3 linked regions of the Drosophila melanogaster genome follow. The protein of the gene in region 2 purifies or fractionates together with the protein of the main gene of each other region. This does not show direct contact. Each region holds a gene or a part of one and is shown on either strand. Other genes may lie near its edges.

What was found.
Region 1: the proteins of Sec3 (region 2) and Sec6 fractionate together in Drosophila melanogaster (co-fractionation; one study listed by BioGRID). This does not show direct contact.
Region 3: the proteins of Sec3 (region 2) and Sec5 purify together in Drosophila melanogaster (affinity purification with western blotting; one study listed by BioGRID). This does not show direct contact.

What each region holds. Positions count from the first base shown.
Region 1 is NT_033778.4:18,622,868-18,628,632, reverse strand, and holds Sec6 (secretory 6), read right to left. Parts: upstream 3,385-5,765; 5' UTR 3,291-3,384; coding exon 2,319-3,290; intron 2,254-2,318; coding exon 1,009-2,253; 3' UTR 915-1,008; downstream 1-914. Other genes in the region: Cth (cystathionine gamma-lyase), read right to left, coding at 1-638; CG5335 (uncharacterized protein), read right to left, coding at 5,703-5,765; Atg7 (Autophagy-related 7), read left to right, coding at 3,674-3,870, 3,927-4,448, 4,506-4,718, 4,850-4,994, 5,056-5,403, 5,464-5,628. UniProt on the Drosophila melanogaster protein: Component of the exocyst complex involved in the docking of exocytic vesicles with fusion sites on the plasma membrane.
Region 2 is NT_037436.4:17,420,512-17,427,662, reverse strand, and holds Sec3 (secretory 3), read left to right. Parts: upstream 1-2,445; 5' UTR 2,446-2,563; coding exon 2,564-3,217; intron 3,218-3,275; coding exon 3,276-3,503; intron 3,504-3,561; coding exon 3,562-4,011; intron 4,012-4,083; coding exon 4,084-4,565; intron 4,566-4,621; coding exon 4,622-5,129; intron 5,130-5,207; coding exon 5,208-5,555; 3' UTR 5,556-5,876; downstream 5,877-7,151. Other genes in the region: Gorab (Golgin, RAB6 interacting), read left to right, coding at 1-75; Polr3G (RNA polymerase III subunit G), read left to right, coding at 594-737, 807-935, 993-1,355; COX7B (cytochrome c oxidase subunit 7B), read right to left, coding at 1,468-1,524, 1,584-1,753, 2,023-2,068. UniProt on the Drosophila melanogaster protein: Component of the exocyst complex involved in the docking of exocytic vesicles with fusion sites on the plasma membrane.
Region 3 is NT_033779.5:3,455,749-3,462,155, reverse strand, and holds Sec5 (secretory 5), read right to left. Parts: upstream 4,855-6,407; 5' UTR 4,751-4,854; coding exon 4,642-4,750; intron 4,572-4,641; coding exon 3,957-4,571; intron 3,903-3,956; coding exon 2,081-3,902; intron 2,024-2,080; coding exon 1,885-2,023; 3' UTR 1,789-1,884; downstream 1-1,788. Other genes in the region: CG3246 (uncharacterized protein), read left to right, coding at 305-386, 450-718, 776-1,762; Cog3 (component of oligomeric golgi complex 3), read left to right, coding at 5,121-5,285, 5,342-5,854, 5,912-6,399. UniProt on the Drosophila melanogaster protein: Component of the exocyst complex involved in the docking of exocytic vesicles with fusion sites on the plasma membrane.

The sequences.
Region 1 (5,765 bases), on a different chromosome or scaffold from region 2:
ACATCCGTATGACCGTTCATGTACTTGGTCAGGGAGTAGCAGACCAGATCAGCGCCCAGCTCCAAGGGTCGCTGGAAGTAGGAGGTCAGGAAGGTGTTGTCGACGGCCAGGACGATATCCTCGCGTACTCCATGGACCAGCTGCGCAATAGCCTCGATGTCGGCTACCTTTACCAATGGATTAGTTGGTGACTCGATCCACACCAACTTGGTCTCCGGCTTGATGGAACTTTTAATTAGATCCAACTTCGTGGGATCCACAAAGGTGGCTGAGATTCCCAGACGGGTGGCAACCTGTCGGATCAAACGGTTGGTGCCTCCGTAAACATCGTCGCCCATGATGATGTGATCGCCGCTGCTCAGCATAGTTAGCACAGCGGTGGTGGCTCCCAATCCCGATGAGAACGTGAGGCCGTATTTGGCATTATCCAAGGCGGCGAAGCACGTCTCCAGCACGTTCCTAGTGGGATTTCCACTGCGGGAGTACTCATAGCCCCTGTGCTCGCCCGGTGCATCTTGCTTGAAGGTGGTGCTCAGCGATATCGGCGGAATCACGGCAGCACTCTTCCACTGGTCGGGGCTCTGGCCCGAGTGGATGGACTTGGTGGCGAAGCCGCTCGGCTGGACTCTGTAGCTCATCTTGTCTGGGTAGGAGGATCGTTGGGAACTGACTGACACGTGGAGAGAGACCGTCGCGAATATATATACTCCTGCCAGATGTTATCGCCTAGCCGGTAATTAAATATTTCGACCGTTACAACACTACATTCGCCGACAGTGATGGAGCTCTAGCTATTAAACGGCTAGAAAACGGAACCCTTCAAAAGTAACGATACATATATGCATTGAAACGATGGATATTCTTACTTTCCTTAGAACTTCTTCGATTATTTATACAATAATTTATTTGTTGATAAAGCACAATAATATTACAATCGCAGCTTAAGAGTAAATACGATACTGAACAGAAAGGGACATGCGGAATGGGTTGGGAACTATACTCCAAGGTCTACCACAGTTTGTCGCTGAACACGATCTCCTTGAAGATGCAATCCTGCTTGGCGATGCTGACCATTGCCTTCTTCGACTTCATGGCATCCTGCACCTTCTCGCGCACCTCGGCCGCCTTCACATCGTTGCGAATGTAAAAGAGCCGTACCAGGTGGTCCTCGTTCAGAGACGGATAGCTGCCCAGCAAGGTGTGCAGGTCCAAGACGAGCAGTTCGATATCCGAGCTAAGCAGTGCCGATAGCGTGGATATAAGATCCAATGGAGAGTCGCTGAGGGAAATCTTCGGCGCGATTTTCTCAAAGAAGAGCTTAAACCGCTTGGCTTCGGTCTTGATTTTTCGCGTAATGGCATCGCACTCGGCCCGTGGCTTAGACAGTCGCTTGGATAGCAGTGCCCTAATGTAGCGCTTGGCCAGCAGCTTCTGGGCCTCGTTGATGACCATCTCGAAGTTATTGGGTCGCAGGTGATTATAGTCCTGGAAGTAATCGTCCAGCGTTACACAAATGGTGTCCACGGCAATGTTACTGGCCAGCCACTTGGCAGTGAATAGGTCGTTAAAGTGACACTCCATGTCCAGGAAGGCTTCCTCCAGCAAGTAACTTGCGGCATGAGCCCGGATCCGCTGGAATGTGGCAAGCAAACGTTCGAAATCCTCATAATGCTCAGTACGTGACTTGGGCCAGTAGAGTTGTTTCATCTGCTGCGCCAGTTCAACCATTTGCTGACTGTTATTCACGATGGTGATGATGTAGTGAGTGAAGTATTTGATCTGGTCCCGATTGCGAAAATGGTGTTCCTTCAGCTCGATTACGTTCTTAAGATATGTCTGGCCAAAGATCTCCACCTGCTGAATGCTCATTACCAACGCCTTGAACGTCAGTTCCTGATGAATTGTGTTGGTCACCTGCAGATGCTGGTCGATCATCTGGAATATGATGACAGGCGCTGAAGTGTGGTAGTACTCCTCATCCTGATCGGGCACCGTCTCAGTAAACCACTCCTGCTTCTCCGTTTCTGCGGCCTTGGTCATCCATTCCTGGAAGTTTCTCTGCATATTTTGCAGATATTCATCTTCCAGCGCTTTGAGATGTTCCGGACGCAGCAGAGTACCTATCTGTCGGTGTACATCCACATTAAGATCCGGATGGGACATCAGCTCGACGCCAGGATAGGTGTGTGTAACCCAAGCCATCATTGATACATATTCATTGCCCTCCAAGCCCGAGCGCACAATGTTGTCAAGCTGGAATTAGTAAATATTAGTGGTATAAAAACATTAATCAATTTAAATGATTGACGATTACTCACATAGCTAGAAAGTCCTTCGTGATAGAACTTGACATATTCGCCGAAAATGTCGTAGTGCGGCGGGAAGCAGGGCACACAAAGGGACTTCACAACGCGCAGATCCTCGAGAATGATTTGACGCAATATCTCCAGGTCTCGTACTAACCACATCTTGTTATCGGCCCGCTCCTCTAGCTTGGATCCCTCTATGCGCGTTATCACCGACTGTTGTAGCACGTCCATGATCATGCGGCGCCAAGCCTTTGGTCTTCCAGGCGGCAGGAATCCTGTGACCTTTTGCTGCTGCAACGCGAACTGGTCGTTTTTCTCTTCCCGCTCTATGATGCGTAGGGCGGTAACGATGATGGTGGGCTTCTTGCGCAGAGTGTTCAGCGTGCGGCTAAGAATGAGTCGCAGCTTTTTCTCCAGCTCTTGGGATACCGTGTCAACCTTCTCGAAGTGACGCTTTAGGGTGATCTTGTCGGACGCATGCTGCTTGGGCTGCTTGTGCAGTTCGTAGAGAAGATCATCCCGCGAATTCTCCAGATCCGCCAGGCACTGATGGGCATTAAGCAGCTTATCATCCTCGATCAGCGCCATCGTCTTTTGTACGCTGGCATCTACGTTGAAGATGTGCTTCAGATTCTCCATGGCGGTGGCGTACTGGGAGTGCTTTGTGTTTTCCTCCCGCACAACTTCCAAAGCGTCGTAGACTTCGGGAACGCCCCTCAGCAGGCGCTCCACCTCGTCCATTCGACGCCTTACCTCGCGCACGTCCTGCATGCAGGTCTCCAACTGCTTAAGTCCCACCCTGACCCCGTCCAGCTGTCCTTGCATTCCGGTCTTAAGGAGCGCCTCAACGGATGCCTTCTTCCGGGCGATTCGGTGGCGATATTGTTCCACCTTCTCCAGTTGACCTGGTCGCTGCAACATGTTCTGTATGTCCTTGAGCGCTGCCTGGCGAGCCTGCTCCTCCAGCTGCTGTAAATCCATCTTCAATTTATTTGGATCACTTTCAGTCTCTGTTTTGGTCAATCTTCGTCAGCAGTGGAAGTGCTGGTGTGACCATATAGCAGTGCGGCTGACAATCTCACTTCCAAGAACTACAGTGTAACTTGACAATAAGCTATATTCTACTCTTAAAATTATTATAGTTTTATTGTGTCTTAAAATTTTTATTTTATTCTTCAAGCTTAAAAAATTATGAAGTTAAAGTATATCTTTTAGTTTGCCAAAGCAACAGAGGATTCGACCTAAGTATGGAAAACTGTACTTATCGATAAGTTATCTTCTCATTGGTCTATCGCCATCGAGAGCTTTGTTTGTTTATAATTTGCAGCCAAACGTTTGAACGTAAACAACGCCCTAAGCAAAACATGAGCACGGAAAAAGAGATAATTTTGCAATTTGCTCCGTGGGAATCTTTTGTGTCGCCCACTTTCTGGCACAAGCTAGCGGAGCTTAAGCTCGACCACGATCGCCTGTCCGACTCGAAACGCTCCATTACTGGACACTACACAAATCGTAATGCAAGTGGATGCCTTTTGGAAGTAGACTACACGGCCTACAACAGGTGAGCTTGAAAACTACGAGTTTGATGAAACCAGCGCTTGACCACCCACATTCCAGAATGGCAAAGCCTCCAAAATTCAGCCATTCCGCTATAGGCACCATCTACAATAAGAACACAATCGAAGAGTTCAAGGCCCTGGACAAATTACAACTGCTGGCCGATGAGGGCAAGGAACTGCTGGCTGATATGTGCAGTGGTGGCGCCTTGAGAGATCCCAGTCTATTGACCCGGTTCTTTGTTCTCTCCTTTGCCGATTTAAAGTGTCACAGCTACTACTATTGGTTCGCCTTTCCGTGCCCGCTGACGCCCACCTTAAAGCTTCAGGGAGCCGTCCAAAAACTGCGGGACTTGCCCAATAGTAGTAGCTATATAATGGCTCTAAAGGCCTTACCCACTGAGTCACAGAACTTCTTCATTCTGTATGCTAATGTGGAGAAGAACATTTTCGAAGCCCGTAGTTTAAGTTCCCTTGACGATAAAAATGTTGAGTTCTGTTATTTTGGTTTTGCTGATCCCAGCGAGTATGAGCATCCAGCTTGGATAATGCGAAACTATGCTGCCTTTCTGCTTCAGCAATGGTAGGTAGGAATAGCAATGTTATGATATCAGTTCACACAGTTGTCGGTCTATTACAGTCCCTCTTTTGTTGGAAAACCATTGAAGTTTCTTGGCCTGCGACACAATCAACAAATGAACATCGATGACAGCCTTGTATGGAAGGTGATTCAGACTGAAGCTTGCGATCTTAGCCAAAGCGAAAATATAAAGTTCGTGGGCTGGGAGCTAAATAAAAATGGCAAAATGGGGCCAAGAATGGTGTGCATGAGGGACAGCATGGATCCAGCCAAGTAAGTTAATAGCTATAGACTTAAATGATAAGAACTATCAGTTCATTGAGGTGTGTCCTTAGTGTTAGCTACCACGACAGTTGAAAGTAACTTGTTTATTATTTATAATTTAACAATATTTCTTTCCGTAGACTCGCTGAGAACTCTGTAAACCTGAACCTGAAACTAATGAAGTGGCGCCTTGTTCCCGATCTCAATCTCGAAATCATCTCCCAAACAAAATGCCTGCTCTTTGGAGCTGGTACTTTAGGATGCGCTGTAGCTAGAAATCTGCTGGTGTGCTTTTATACGAAATGATTTAACTGATCTGATAACTAATAGTTTATTTATTTTGTAGTCCTGGGGATTTAAGCACATAACCCTTTTGGACAGCGGCAAGGTTGGGTTCTCTAATCCAGTGCGTCAGAATCTCTACACGCATGCAGATGCTGTGGCAGGCAATCGGATGAAGGCGACTACAGCTGCTCAGAGATTGAAAGAGATCAATCCGTCTGCGGAAACGGCGGGTTATGTGCTGGAGATTCCCATGCCTGGGCATACTATTGGAGAATCGCTTCTAGCCCAGACGAAGGAGCATTTGAAGGTTATCGAAAAGCTTGTGCAGGACCATGATGTCATCTTTCTGCTCACAGATTCGCGCGAAAGCCGCTGGCTGCCCACCCTGCTTGGAGCGGCAAAGGAAAAAGTGGGAACAATCATATACTCACCTTTCAGAAGAGATGTACCTAAAATGTTTCCCTTATAGATTGTCATCAACGCAGCTTTAGGCTTTGACAGTTATCTGGTAATGCGACATGGCACTACGCGTAAGGAAGCAGGCGACGATGGCCAAGAAATCGAAGGACTTAAGTGCATTAATGGCGATCAATTAGGTTGCTACTTTTGTAACGATGTTACGGCCCCTGGAAATGTAAGTCCCATTTGTTGTATAGTTTAAGATAACATTTGTATTTTCAGACTTCATTAGTTGGGTTAACATGGTTACTAAACGCATTCGTAATCATGGCGGGAATATTTTTCGAAGCCAGCGCACGTAGGATCCCCCGT
Region 2 (7,151 bases):
GAATTGATGCAGAAAGTGGGTCTGTCGCCAACCGATGATTGCCAACCGATTGATTTAACTCAACAAAGCCCCTAAACACGTAACACGTGTAAATTCAACTTCAAATCATCTTTAATTCGAATTTTCAGCGGTGTTTGCTTAACTTGACCAAAAGTATCAATTTGTTGCTCCCTGAAATATTATATTTTTTAAATTGGAAAATTATGTACTAATTTTCCATCGGCTATATTGTATTGGAATTGTAAACATAAAACACGCCTGAAATATGTCGAATGCGCTCTAATATTAGCATGTAATTAATGTTCATAGCCTAAGTGATGAAGTGCAAATTGCAAATAAAATATGTATATGTTATGTGTAAAATTAAAGTGTAATTACTGAAACTGAGTAGTTGGAACTGCGACCTAAATAAAAATAAGGGTATTAAAAAGCGAACATTCTTCAATAATGTTATTGTTTGGCTTTGACTATGTGGCAACACCGTTAGCTGCGGCAACAGCTGATCGTTTTCAGAGTTTAATAAACGTGCAAGCTGAACAATACAATCGGAAATAAGTGTTTCTAAACAGAATACAATAAATTAAGCATTTATAATGGCAGGCCGCGGAAGGGGCGGCAAGACAGGCACCCTCACGGCGGAGCAAATGGCCATGTTGGGATGCACAAAGGATATGCCGGTGCAGACGGCGCCGCCACCTACATTTCCGCCTGTTTTGAACAGACCCACTACCCTAGAAGTGGGTACAAATCCATTTACATTAGTTTAAAAAACATCGATCAACTTTTTACCTGTTTTACTTCGATAGACAACAGCCACACAGAACTATCAGCTCCTGTGGAAGGAGGACTTTCTGAACCGAATGCGAGATTCCCCCTATTACATGATCTCCGCCAGTCGGGACGCAAAAAACCTTGATCACAAGGACTGGCGAGAAGTAATAATACTGGCTATTTTAAATTAGCTGCTTATAATCCTGCTTTTACACCCCCAGAAAGCCATGGAGCGCATGAAGCTCACAGCACAACCCGATTTTAACTACAAAGCCATGCCCCAAGAGCTAAACATCTCCAGTCGAAAACGTCGTGGAGCAGATGCAAGGCCGAATCTGCTGACCAAGAAGACAAACATCGAGGACAGACTGAAGGTTCTGGAGCAGAAAGAACTGAAATCAGGTGGCGGTGAGCAGGACGAGAACAAACAAGAGTCCGATTCCGAACAGGAGGAGGAGGAAGATCCGGAGGCGGCGTTGGATGATGAGATGGACGAGGACAACGACTACGGTGCAACGTACTTTGATAATGGAGAAGCCTTCAATGATGAGGACGACAACTTGGACGATGGTCCCGTTTACTGAGACAAATAAAACCATCGAACTGATTACTTTCGGATCTGTGATTTACTATGTCGCCACTTTAAGCTTATTTAACACAAATGTTGGATTAATTTACACGTAAGGGAACGCTGGCTTAGTCCAGGCTCTTGGGCGCGTAGTAGTTGAAGTGGATGATACCAGAAGATTTCACCTGCAAAGCGTATTTCAATAAGACCGATATGGGATGGAAGGAATATGGCAGCCACTTACGAATCCAATAGTGCCGGCCAGGACGAGAATGCCAGTGATGAGCGCGGCATTGTACTTGGCGTTCTTCTGGCTGTGCTGCTCCTTCCAGTCTCCAGCGGGCACGGGCAGATCGTTCATGGTGGAGTGGGGACCATGTCCACCGTGGTAAGCGGCACGCGACAAAGCGCCAGCTGAAATGAGAGAACAAGAAAGAATATTCAAGTGATTGGTTTTAAAAAGGGGGTAATCCCAACGAAATGCAACTTGGTTAATGATCTCATCCAAGTTTCTTCCGATATCTGTTTGGCTAATTCTGATAATATCCATGGCTATGCTGAAGATTGGTGGGTGAACCATTCCTTCGCAGTTCCTTGAAGTTTCTCCCTTTGCTTATCCACATTATGTAATTTTTAAGGTTAGCAGTTTTGCTGAAAAGAGGTGTTGGGCCACTCCAACTCACCGTTCTTGAGCAGAAGCCCCTGCTTGACAATGTGCTTAACCAACATGATTGCTCGAAAGTAGCTGGAAATGGGTAAATATGGGTTTATTTTCACTGCCAATACTTTTTCGCATTATAACTCACCCGAAGATTACCTTGTGTTGAACAGTGTGACCGTTGTGTTGTTATAGAATAATATCTACCCTACAGTTGGGATGAGATCACGAGCTGCATACTTGTTATTACCTACGATGCGATGAAACCTTCAATGTATCTATTATACTGAAATGTTTAAATAACAATATGATTTAATACATTTTAATTGGTTTCTGTAGTCTTAGCATATTTTTGCTATGTGACTTTTAACCACGTAAAGAACACTCACGCAATGCGCTCATCCCCAACCGATAGTCTGTAAACGCCTCTGCAGAAGCTCTGTTAAATCAGCTGTTGGTGCGGAGGCGTTCTCCAATTGCTAATTGCAAGTGCAAACAACTGGCCAGTTGTTGATTCTTGAAAGGACTTTATTCGAGACCAGTGCATCCCGAAGATATACCCAGCCATGCTGTCCATTGGCGCTATGGCCAACATCAAGCACACGCTGCAGAAGGAACTCTTCTTGGCCTCCGGAGAACGCCTCCTTTCTGTGGTGACGGTGGTCAAGAAGAAGGACAAGAAGCCGTGCTACCTTTGCGTTGTCACCACGGCGCCACCGGTACCCGTGGTCACTTTGTGCCTGATCAAACAGTCGGAGCAGCGCGAGGGCGAATACAAGCGCAAGCGGAGCTGGCAGCTGGACGAGATTAAGTGGGTTGACGGCCGGAACGAGCAGTTCGAGACGCACGAGTTCGATCTGCAGTTGGAAAAGCTGTACAAATGGTACGCCCTTAACCCTCACGAGCGCCAAAACTTTCTGGCCGTGCTCAATCGCCAAATCCAAAAAAGCGTGCGTGGCCAGCGGGCGGAATTCCGGAATGTGCCCGCAGCGTGGTTGTCGGAGAAGTCGCCGGAAAAGGTGGCATTGGGCAGAGCGGTTCAGAAGACGCAACACATGGACGACGAGGAGGACGAAGAGGAGGAGGCCCAGGAGTTTACCGCTCTGACGGACAAAGAGGCCAATGAGCTGGGCAAACTTTTCTCCGAGTGCGACTTCGCCATTAAAGATGCTGAGCAGTTCATAGAGCAGCTGTCGCGTGAGCTCCACGATTTGGATGGGGTTAGTAAATTGGGCTTGTCCACCGTGTATACATTACTCATAATTTCTTATCTCGCAGGCCAATATGCAAAGTGTACTTGCCTCGGAACAGAAGGTTCTGAAAATGATGGAACACATCGACAATGCTATCTCCGAGGCGGATAAGTTTGAAAACCGTCTTGATAGCTACGAGGACATTCTGGGGCATGTCAAGGAAACCATGGAGAAAATTGGAGGCAAAAATGCCATGATCGAAATTGCCAACAATAACAATATCAAGCTTATGAAGGAGCTCAACAAAGTCATAGTGCGTATTCTTAGTGTACTCAATTTTATACTGTTTAATAATTCTGCTACTTCTGCAGAGTCAACTGGATCTGCCGCACAGCCAGCAGCAGGCTCTGGATGAACCCGATTTAAAGACCGCCAATGGACGCAAAGCAGCCATTGCAGCTGCTCAGTGCCTGCAACAGGCAATGAACAGCGATATAGATCCTGCTCTGCTGCGTTTGGAGGCGGTGCAGGACCAACGCAAGCGCTTTGAAAAGTGGAAACAAAAATTCTCTGCCACGGTCAGTCGGTTTATGAACAACCTCTTCATCCACCTGGGCAATGAAATAGGAGACATGCAGGTGACTAGCACTGAACTTACGCTGCCTAACCATTCCAACGTCCATCGGGAACTGACGCCTTATACTGAGCTGATGCACTGGACAAAAGCCATGGATCGGAAGACCTACGATGGTCTAATGCGTGTGTACACAGCATCGCTGAGCAAGATCTATGACAGGGATGTGAGGAACTTCTTCAATTTGGTAAGACATGAACATGGAAATGTAATAGTTTGTAATCTAAGCTAATCTCGATCACTTCTGATTATTTTATAGGCTAAAATTCAGGTGACGGAAAAGCTTCGTAATTCTCGGGAGGATCTGGACATGTCTACGTCTTCAAGAAAGTCCGCAGTTTCCACAATACCTTATGGCACACTGGGAATCAACAGGGATCAGTGGGGTCCCGGTGTAGAGACAGCGGATCGAATGCGTTTTGATGCATTGTTGGAAAAGGTTCTAGCTGAGCTGGAACCCATCGCCCTGCAGGAACAGCTTTTCTGCATCAACTTTTTTCAGATGGACGTTATTAGTCCAACGACAAAGAACACACAGACTACGTTGGAGATGGAAAAGGCGGTGGATATGACACAGTCAATCATATCAGGAGCGGTTTCGCCATCAGGTGATGGTGTTCCGCAGAAGCGGATTGACCGTCAAATTAACGAAGATGTGCGTAAACTGATGATGGGCCTTTTCGGTTGCCTAGAACCAGAGCTAGTTAGCTTCATCCAGAGCTTTGAGCGTGTAGACAGCTTGTAAGTAAACAATATAGTAATGGAGTAAGGAGTAATTAACAAATTTGTTTTCGTAGCTACTCTCTGTACGTTTTTGTGCGACTTACGCAGCACGTCATGTCCGCCCAGGACACACATTCCTTTCTTAGCATGACCTTCGCTTCCGCCTTGGTGCAGGTGAAGCGGAGCTTCGACCGCTTTATGCAGAACCAACTACTGTCTATCCGGGAGGCAAAGCTGCACAAACGTTCTAAGGCCATTCTGCCGTATGTGGAAAACTTTGAAAACTTTGCCCAAACTGCAGAGGGCATATTTCGGAAATCGGATCGCCGAACGGACATGGAGAAGTGGTACTTGCAGCTGGTGAATGCCATATTTGAGGGCATCCAACTGCATTCGCAGGAGCACCCCAAGACACCAGTTCAGGTAGTGCGCATGGAGAACTACCACCACATGTACGCTTTGTTAGCCCAGCTCAAGGTTCCTGGTCTGGACGCCCTGAAAAAGGAGGCCAAGAAGTGTTATAACGATGCGCTAAAAGCGTATGTGACTCAGTACTTCGGCCGGCCGCTGGAGAAACTGAATGTAAGCCAAAGTCAATGACCTTCCAGAAGAAAAGATAAGTCGATCTTCATCTCATAAATTTCCGTTCTGCCTTTGCAGCAATTCTTCGAAGGCGTGCAACTTAAGGTGGCCCAGGGAGTCAAGGAAACGGAAATCAGCTACCAGATGGCATTCTCCAAGCAGGAACTCCGCAAGGTGATCGCTCAGTATCCTGCACGAGAGGTGAAGAAAGGACTGGAGAACCTATATAAGAAGGTGGAAAAGCACCTGAGCGAGGAGGAGAATCTGCTGCAAGTGGTATGGCATGCCATGCAGGAGGAGTTCATTGCCCAGTATAATTACCTGGAGGAGCGCATCCAAAAGTGCTACGCCGGCGCCATGATCAACCTGGAGTTCAACATTCAGGACATACTCGCCTTCTTCTCGGACATAGCGCGCTCCCACTGATCTAGGGATTGGAATCTGAAAGTCAGGGAGCGGTTCAACCGGGTTTTATTTTTAAGTGCAATAGTATTTAAAGCGCTGTTTCTGCTGATTGCAAAATATATGGCGCGTATATTTAAACAGATGTGGATCTGCGAATGTTCGAAACGTCCAAGAGAGAGGGATCGCGTAGTGAAAAATCAACGAGACTAGGCCTTAAAGGGAACTTTTCAACAGCTAGCCATTGAAGTTGATTATTGTATAAGTTCTAAGCTAAAATTACATAGCCAATACTCAACTTTTGTCCAAGAATGCGAGTAAACTAAATTTTATATATAAAAATGTAGAATTTCTAGAGATCTTACTTGATCTTTAGTACGTCAGCTTTTAAAAATCACAGATAGAAGTTTGACTTTTTGTATTTATACTTTTATAGTATAACTCTAATTTACTACCGTGCACATTCAAACAGCCTCCTAAGGTCAAAGAGAGCTCTTCAAGATCAAAAGAGATAGATCATAGCCTAAAGAGAGAGAGAGAGAGAGAGAGTGCTCGAAGAGTGAGCTTTCCGGGGTGGCTTTTCGTTCGCCAGCCGTTGGAGTTCGGGCTGGTGCTCCCAGTCAAGCCGCGCGACTCTTTCGCATCGGTTGTCGCCTGTCCGCGTGATTTACCCAACTGCAGTATAAGCATTTTATTTCGTGTATTTTAAATTGTTCTAGCCGTACGTGTTTCCGTGTGTGCTCATGTGCCGTGTTGATAACTCCGTGAAATGCAAATGGTAATTGCAAATGGCAAATGGCAAACGGAAAATGGAAGAAGCCGCAACGACTTGCGACTGAATGTGGTGCATATTTTATGAAGCTCCGACAGGGAGAACAAAAAGTTAGACTACCGCCGAACCGATCCGATCCGAACTGATCCTCCCTCCTGTCTGGGCTGTCCCATAAACATGGCCACCATAGCGACCCGTCCGACCAGTTTCGTGCTGTTGTGCGGTTGTCGCTCCTGACTCGGTTCTCCCTACCTTCCCGTGACCCCCATCCCCATCCCCGTCTACATTCCCATTCCCATCTCCTCCAGCCGTTCCATTCCTTAGCTTACCTTAGCCTGTCTTGCCCTCCGCCTTGCATTTCTCATGCACACACGTTGCCCGCTTTTTGTGCTTTTCGTGCGCTCCCGTGCTCATGTTCTTCCACTTTTTCGGCAGCCTGTAGTACAGTGGATGCCGGTTAACGGAAGACATTTACATTTTAATGCATGTTCGACATGGAAAACTAATCGGATACGAAACGCATACAAAAAGACTATTCTTTTTAGGACCTTAATGAGATGCAGGAATACTGAGTCTTCAGACGGCTTTGGAAATTTAATAATATAGGTTTCTTAGATAATCATTTTAGTTTTCAAAATCAATAACTCTACTTCATTTTAGGTTCTTTCATAACAAGCTTATATCTACAATAGTTTGGGATCACTCGGCATAGCTCTTTGCGTTTTTCAAGCCAATTTCCACTGTTTTTCTTTCCTCGCAATTCCTCTTCAACACAACTGCCTTTTGTTTTAGCCTTAACTGGCGGTCATCACAGTTGCTCTTGCCGTACGTATATTTTAACGAAGTTT
Region 3 (6,407 bases), on a different chromosome or scaffold from region 2:
TGCAAGCTGCTAGTTCATGATTTCTAGAACATCGTTCCTGGGAGTGGAGTGAGTTCCATGAGTGCCTACAATGTGCTGGCCGCTTCCGCTCACTTAAGTCACTCAATCTCAATTCCGAGTTTAATCAGCAGCTCCGCGAGCAGAGTCGCCCTTAGATAAGCGGATCGCCGCCTGCGGCTCATCATTATCTTTTGATTAACGCGCCAGTCGACAGTGCGTGTTTGTTCCGAGTAGAGAACGGAGGCTGGCGCGTTTTCTTCCATTTTCCAACTGATAAGCAGAAGCTCCAGCTAATCCCCGAAAGATGAAGCCGTTGATAGTGGTCGTGCTCGTGGGCCTGATGGCAAGTGGCTGCCACATTGTTCACTCCCAGGAGCCTGGCGATGGTAAGACGAATTCCAGTCTGAGCTCTACCGGAACTAAGCCACTCATTAATGACCTTTGAGCAGCTGTGGAGCAGGAAGCCAGCGAGTCGGATGACGCACTTAAGATCAAAGAGAGTCAGGCCAGCATAGCCGCCCAGGTGGAGGCCATGCTCGTGCACTTTCAGCAGGAGGATCCGCAGGGTCTGCCCGGCGTGCCCGTGCCCGATCCGTTGGAGGTGCCCAATGTGAAGAAGAGCATGGGCATGGCCAATCTGGACATGAAGCAGGTCAAGGCGTATGGCTTGTCCAAGTTCCGCATTGATAAAATGAACCTAGACCTGAAGGAAATGAGAGTAAGTTTTCAAGTTGAATTCGAATTGGCTTGAAGTTTCCACTCCTCTGTCCTGCAGTTCAACGGTGGCCTCCAGCTGGACCAGATGCTGGTCAAGGGCCAGTACACCCTCAGTTCATTCTTTTCGAAAGCCAATGGACCCTTTACAGTAGTCCTGAAGAATGTCTATGCCGAGGCAACCGCCTTCTTGGCCGTCGAACGAGACGGTCAGCTGGCCACGGACCGCATCAAGATCGACATCACATTCTCGGACATGACAATGGACTTCCAGAACCTCGGCCTGGTGGGCAGTGTCTTTCAGAGCGTGGTGAACGGTGCGCCCAACTTGGTCTTCGACGCCATGAAGCCATTTATGCTCCAGGAGGCGGACAAAAAGCTGCGCAGCGAGATCAACGTAATGATCCAGAAAACCTTGGGCGAACGCCGACTGCCCAATTCCATAACGCCGCTGGACAGCGCCATTGCCATGGCACGCAAGATGGTTCGGCAGAAGGGCTTCGATCCGTACCACCTGCCTGATGTCAATCGCACCATGGGCGTGTTCAGTGTCCAGTTAGCACACACCTGGATCAATGGAATCTCTAGCTTCTACCGCGTGGGCAACATAACCGCTGGCATGGCCAACAAAACGGTGTCGGTCGTTCTGCAAATAGGCACCCAGCAGGTGACGGGAGCCGGCCAGTGGGAGGTGGGTGTGGGCATGATGACACGCGTCGGTCACGTACAATTTACGGTTCAGCACATACGCGCCACCGTTGGCCTGAGCCAATCCCTGGACACACGCAAGCGGGCGCAGATCACCGATCTGCAGTTTGACATGGGCAACATACAGGTGCGATGTGACGGAGCGGGAACGCTGGACTACGTCATGGAGTTTGCGGTGAACGTCATTCCCAACCTGCTGCGCTACCAGATCATGGACGCCATCGAGAACCCCATCAAGCAGCGTGTGCAGGAGAAGTTCAACACCATCGATGTGGAGCAGGTCATCAAGACCATGGCTCAGAACAACTTCAACTTTGACCCAAAGCTGTTGGGCTTGTGAGTCGTGGTAGTAAGTAAGAGAGTTATGCAATCGAATAAAGATTTATCCCTAGAACATGGGTAATCACAAGCTACTTAAAGTATACGCTATCTACATGGGCTGCGCCCTGCAGTGGAATGTGCCTAGGGGTCCTTGACACTGAAGCAGAGCAGCTGCAGACGCATGTTCCGCTTGACCCGCTCCAGAATCTCGTCCGCCTTACGCTTCTGCTCGCCACTCAGGGGCGGATTGATGGCCTCCAGCGCTTCCATGAAGTAGTTCCTTTTGCAGATTAGAAGAATTATTGAAATTCATAGGTATTTCATTTAGATCACTCACTTGGCAGTCTCATTGACGTAACCTTCCAGGGAGTCCCTCAATAGACGGATATCCACGTGGGCCTGAATCGCTCCCGTGAAGCTAAAGCGCTGGACACAGCTCATCAGACGGGCCAGCTCTTCGGATATGGTTTGCACAATGGACTCCAGGATGGGTCGCAGCAGTGCCGGTGAAATGCTGTAGATCTCGGAGTAGACACCAACCAAATTATCGCAGCACTCGTGAGCGTAAGGACGCAGCTGGCCGATCTCCATCTCGTGATCCCACTGGAAACGACCCAGATACATGGAGGGCTCGATGGTGCCGACCAGCGGATCGCCCTTATGCTCGACGTACTCCTCCAGAAGATTGGTAAAGAGCTGGTTAACCGTGTAGCGAGCAGTTTCGATTGCCAGCGTGGGCAGCGGGTAACCGTAGCGAACGAAGATGTCACCAAGGCGCGGGAAGAAGATCTTGTTGCAGTACGCATAGTTGGCCAGGCAACAGAGCATGCGCTGCTCCCAGGTCACAGCCGCTGCTCCGCCGCTTCCAGCCACCGAATCTGGCTGCTGGGCATTGGGGAATCCAAGTAGCTGCGACACATTGTGGGTGGGCGTCTCCTCGTCGTGGGAGTGGAAGGCCAGCTCCTCGATCACCGCGCTAAACGCGGATAGGAATTCTTGTAGTCGCTGTGTCACCTCTCTCTGTCCATCCGACTGCGGCTCGAGGAGATTGCCCTCCCGGGTCTCCCTTTGCATGCACACAGATTGCACCTCGTCCAGCGTTTCGATGAGCAATGTTTCCAAGGCGGCGGGTAACAATGTGGCACCTGGATATTCCTCCACGCCCAGTTCCCAGGTCTCCTGGCTGCCCAGCTTTTTGCACCGATCCGTGGCCCGTTTGAAGATAATTGAGAAGCAGAAAAGTCGCACCTCATCGATCAGTTTCTGTATGATGTCCAGCGCTTCCGAGGGCAGATCCAGGCTGATGAGCGTGGCATAGGCTATCCTCGTGAAACGCAGGCACTGCGGAATCCAGGGTAGAAACTGATGTGTTGCCGATGCGGAGCCGATGGGCCAAGCCAAGCCGCTGGACTGACGCAGGGCGCGCTGATCCGTGGCAATGAGAATGGCCAACCTCAAGTAGACACAGAACTTCTCGATGGCGTTCAAAACCATTCGCTTGAAATCCCCTGGCTTGGGATCATGAGGTCCGCGTAGCTCGCCGGTGAAGTATAGCTGGCCCAGACGCCACAAGTCCGGCAGCTGGGAGGCGGCAATGTCGCACAGTTCTTCGCAGAAGTTAACCCGATTGGGCGCCTGGCTGGAATCCCTGTTCTTTGCCTTTTCCTGGGCACCCGAATCCTTGCTGGTGTGCTGATCAAATGTCTGGCGAAATGTCCACTCCAGATATTTGGCTCTGGCCTCGATGGCATCCCAGGCGGGATCGATGTTGCGCAGTTTATCGCCAATGGGAGTTCCGCTCTGCTGCAGTTCCAGACTGATCAGCGCCTTGATGAGCTTCTTCTGTTGCTCCACGCTCTGTGGCATCTTGACCACCTTCTCGTGCAGTTGTTTCCTTATTGACAGAATCCTGTGGTCGACCTCCTCGAGCACCTTGCGGAAAATGGGAATCTCCGTCTTGCCAAAGAGGTTCTTGGCGCGCGAGTAGTCGTTAACCACAATGTCATATTCACCCGCCTTGGCACGTCTGTCCACCGAATTGGGCAGACAGAAGAGGAACTTGTGCCGCGACAGGGCGAACAGAACGGACCGCGTGGAATCCGCCTTCTCTTTGCGCACCAGCACATCCGTGAATATCTTTTGCGATTCGCTAATGGAGTCTATAAGTCGAACAATTTTAGAATTAAATATCTTAATCTATAAACCCCACTCACTCTCTATGGATGTTTCCAAGATATTTAGGGTCTCATTGCCGTGTAGCTTGACATCCTCCTGCAGCTTGTCTCGGATGTTCATCAGCGTATCGAGCTGGTCAATCACCGAGCCTGCATTGGACTTGAGGAAGGACAACTGACCTTCCTTCTGGCTCTCCACTTTCCGCTTCAAGTAGGACAGGCCCGCCTTGAGATCCTCGAAGGAGGTGGCCAGGTGATTTTCAAGCAGGAACCAGGCCGGGGAGAAGTGCTCCTGCGACAGATCCCCGCAGGCTTCGGGAAAGAGATCGCGGAGGTCCTCGGGGATCTTCTGCTCGTTACCCTCGATGGACAGCCCAAGTGGATCCTCCTGCGTCAGTCCGGATTGGGCTAGGGTGCGCCGACCCCAGGCAAAATTCTGCGAGGGCGACTCCTCGATCCACACGGCGGACTCCTTGAGCGGGCCAATGGTCTCGTGGTATGCACGAAACTGAACCGTGGACGTGCCCACTCCGCCGCTTAAAGTGGTCACTATGATATCGCCTTTTCCCTTCGCCGGACCAGTGCGTGCGATGATTTTATTGGGTGATTTCCACTCCGCCGACAGCAGACAATCTGAACCGCAGATTTTTAGACCTTACATTTTTTTTTTTTGGAAGGGAAAGTCATCAGAAAACAGAAGCTATTTGGGACAGGCTACGCCTACCAATTAGATCTTGCACTCGGGTGCCCAGGAACTCGCCGCGAATGATAACGCGGGTGCCAGGAGGACCCTCCTTCGGAGATAGCCCCGTAACCACTGGCTGCGGCGCCATCGTATGCTATATGATGCGGAAAAACTGATCAAAATGCAATAAAAACAATAGAGAACAGAACTTTATTGATGCTGCCAGTGATGGAAAACGTCCCGTCAGTGGTGAAATCTTGGCTAAGTAATCGCCAAGCTAAACAGACAGATATTTAATATAAAACTTATGTAAGAAACGGACGAGCATAAAAAGAGCTTAAAATGTATTAAATCTAAAATTAAAGATTACTTAACATATGATACCATTCAAATAAAGGCAACTTATATCAATCAAGAGTTTTAGTTCTAGCTAAGTCTCCTTGCTGAGCAGCACTGGAAGGCGCAGACCGGTCATCTCTGAACAGCTGATTGATTGTTTCCAAATCCGCCGCAGAAAAATGGATGACGTCGAACGAATTCAGAGCGAGAATGAGAATTTGCGCAAGATTCGCAATCGCCTGATGCAATGGGAGTCCAAAACGGACCCGCTGGCGGCTCTGAGTATCCAGCAAGAGGAGCACCTGGACGTCCTGACCAATCTGTGGCGCGACAGCGGACCATCGGTGAGTCGACTCCTCCTCGAATGGCAATCGTATAATTGCAACCCGACTCTTTGTAGGCACCGGCACCGACTACGCCCACCCAGGTGGGTCCTACCGATTCATCGGCAGCTGCAACTTCGCAAAGCGGCGATGACATCAGACTACCTGCGGAGGGACTCCAGAACACCAATGAGTTTCTGCTTTGGTTCGCGGACGTCAGCGCCGAGATCGAGCAACGTGGCGATGCCGACTACCACAAATACCTGCAGCAGCTGGAGCAGCGCAAAGCGGAGTGCTCCCACATGCTGGACCAGATCGCTGGGGCCATGGAGCGCCTGGGTGCCCTCTGCGACGAGTACGACTTTGTGTCGCAAAAGACCAGCGCTCTGAACACGGCCAGCGAGCAGTTGATCGAGGAGCAGGAGCGACTGCAGGAGCTGAGTCACGAGATTCAACGCCGTCTGCACTACTTCAGCCAGGTGGAGTTGCTCAACCAACGACTTCAGAGCCCCACGCTTTCGGTGGCTAGCGAAGCGTTCCGGGAGTGCCTCAACAAGATCGACGAATGCCTAAACTACATCGAGGAGAATGTGAGCTTGTCTGTTACACTTCGGTCATGTATATACTAATATCCTTCATTGTCACAGCCCAAATTCAAGGATGCGGCCGCCTACAATGTGAAGTACAGGCAGTGCCTGGCCAAAGCCTCGGGTCTGGTGCGTAACTATGTGACGAGTGTGATAAACCAGGCAACCGAGGCCACGCTCCATCCCAAGAACAATATGCCGGATGCCTCCGCTGCTCTCAAGGCACCAGATGCCGCATTCGCTCTGTACTACGGCAAATATCAAACGGCCGCGGCAAAAGTGAAGCGGGTCGCCCAGTTGATTGAGTCCCGGTCGGAACACAGCCTCGACTACGCCCAACTAATGGCGGATCTTCAACAGCACTACTTGGCGCAAAGAGCCAGCGTTATGTCGCCAGCAGTGAATCTGTCCATACAAAACGTTAAGGTGGCCCACAAAGGGGATCACTGCTCTCTCACCCGAAGCGCCTGCGCCTTTTTGGTGCATGTTTGCCAGGACGAACAGCGTTTGTTCTACCAGTTCTTCAGCACAGGAGCGCCACACCTGACGTAATACT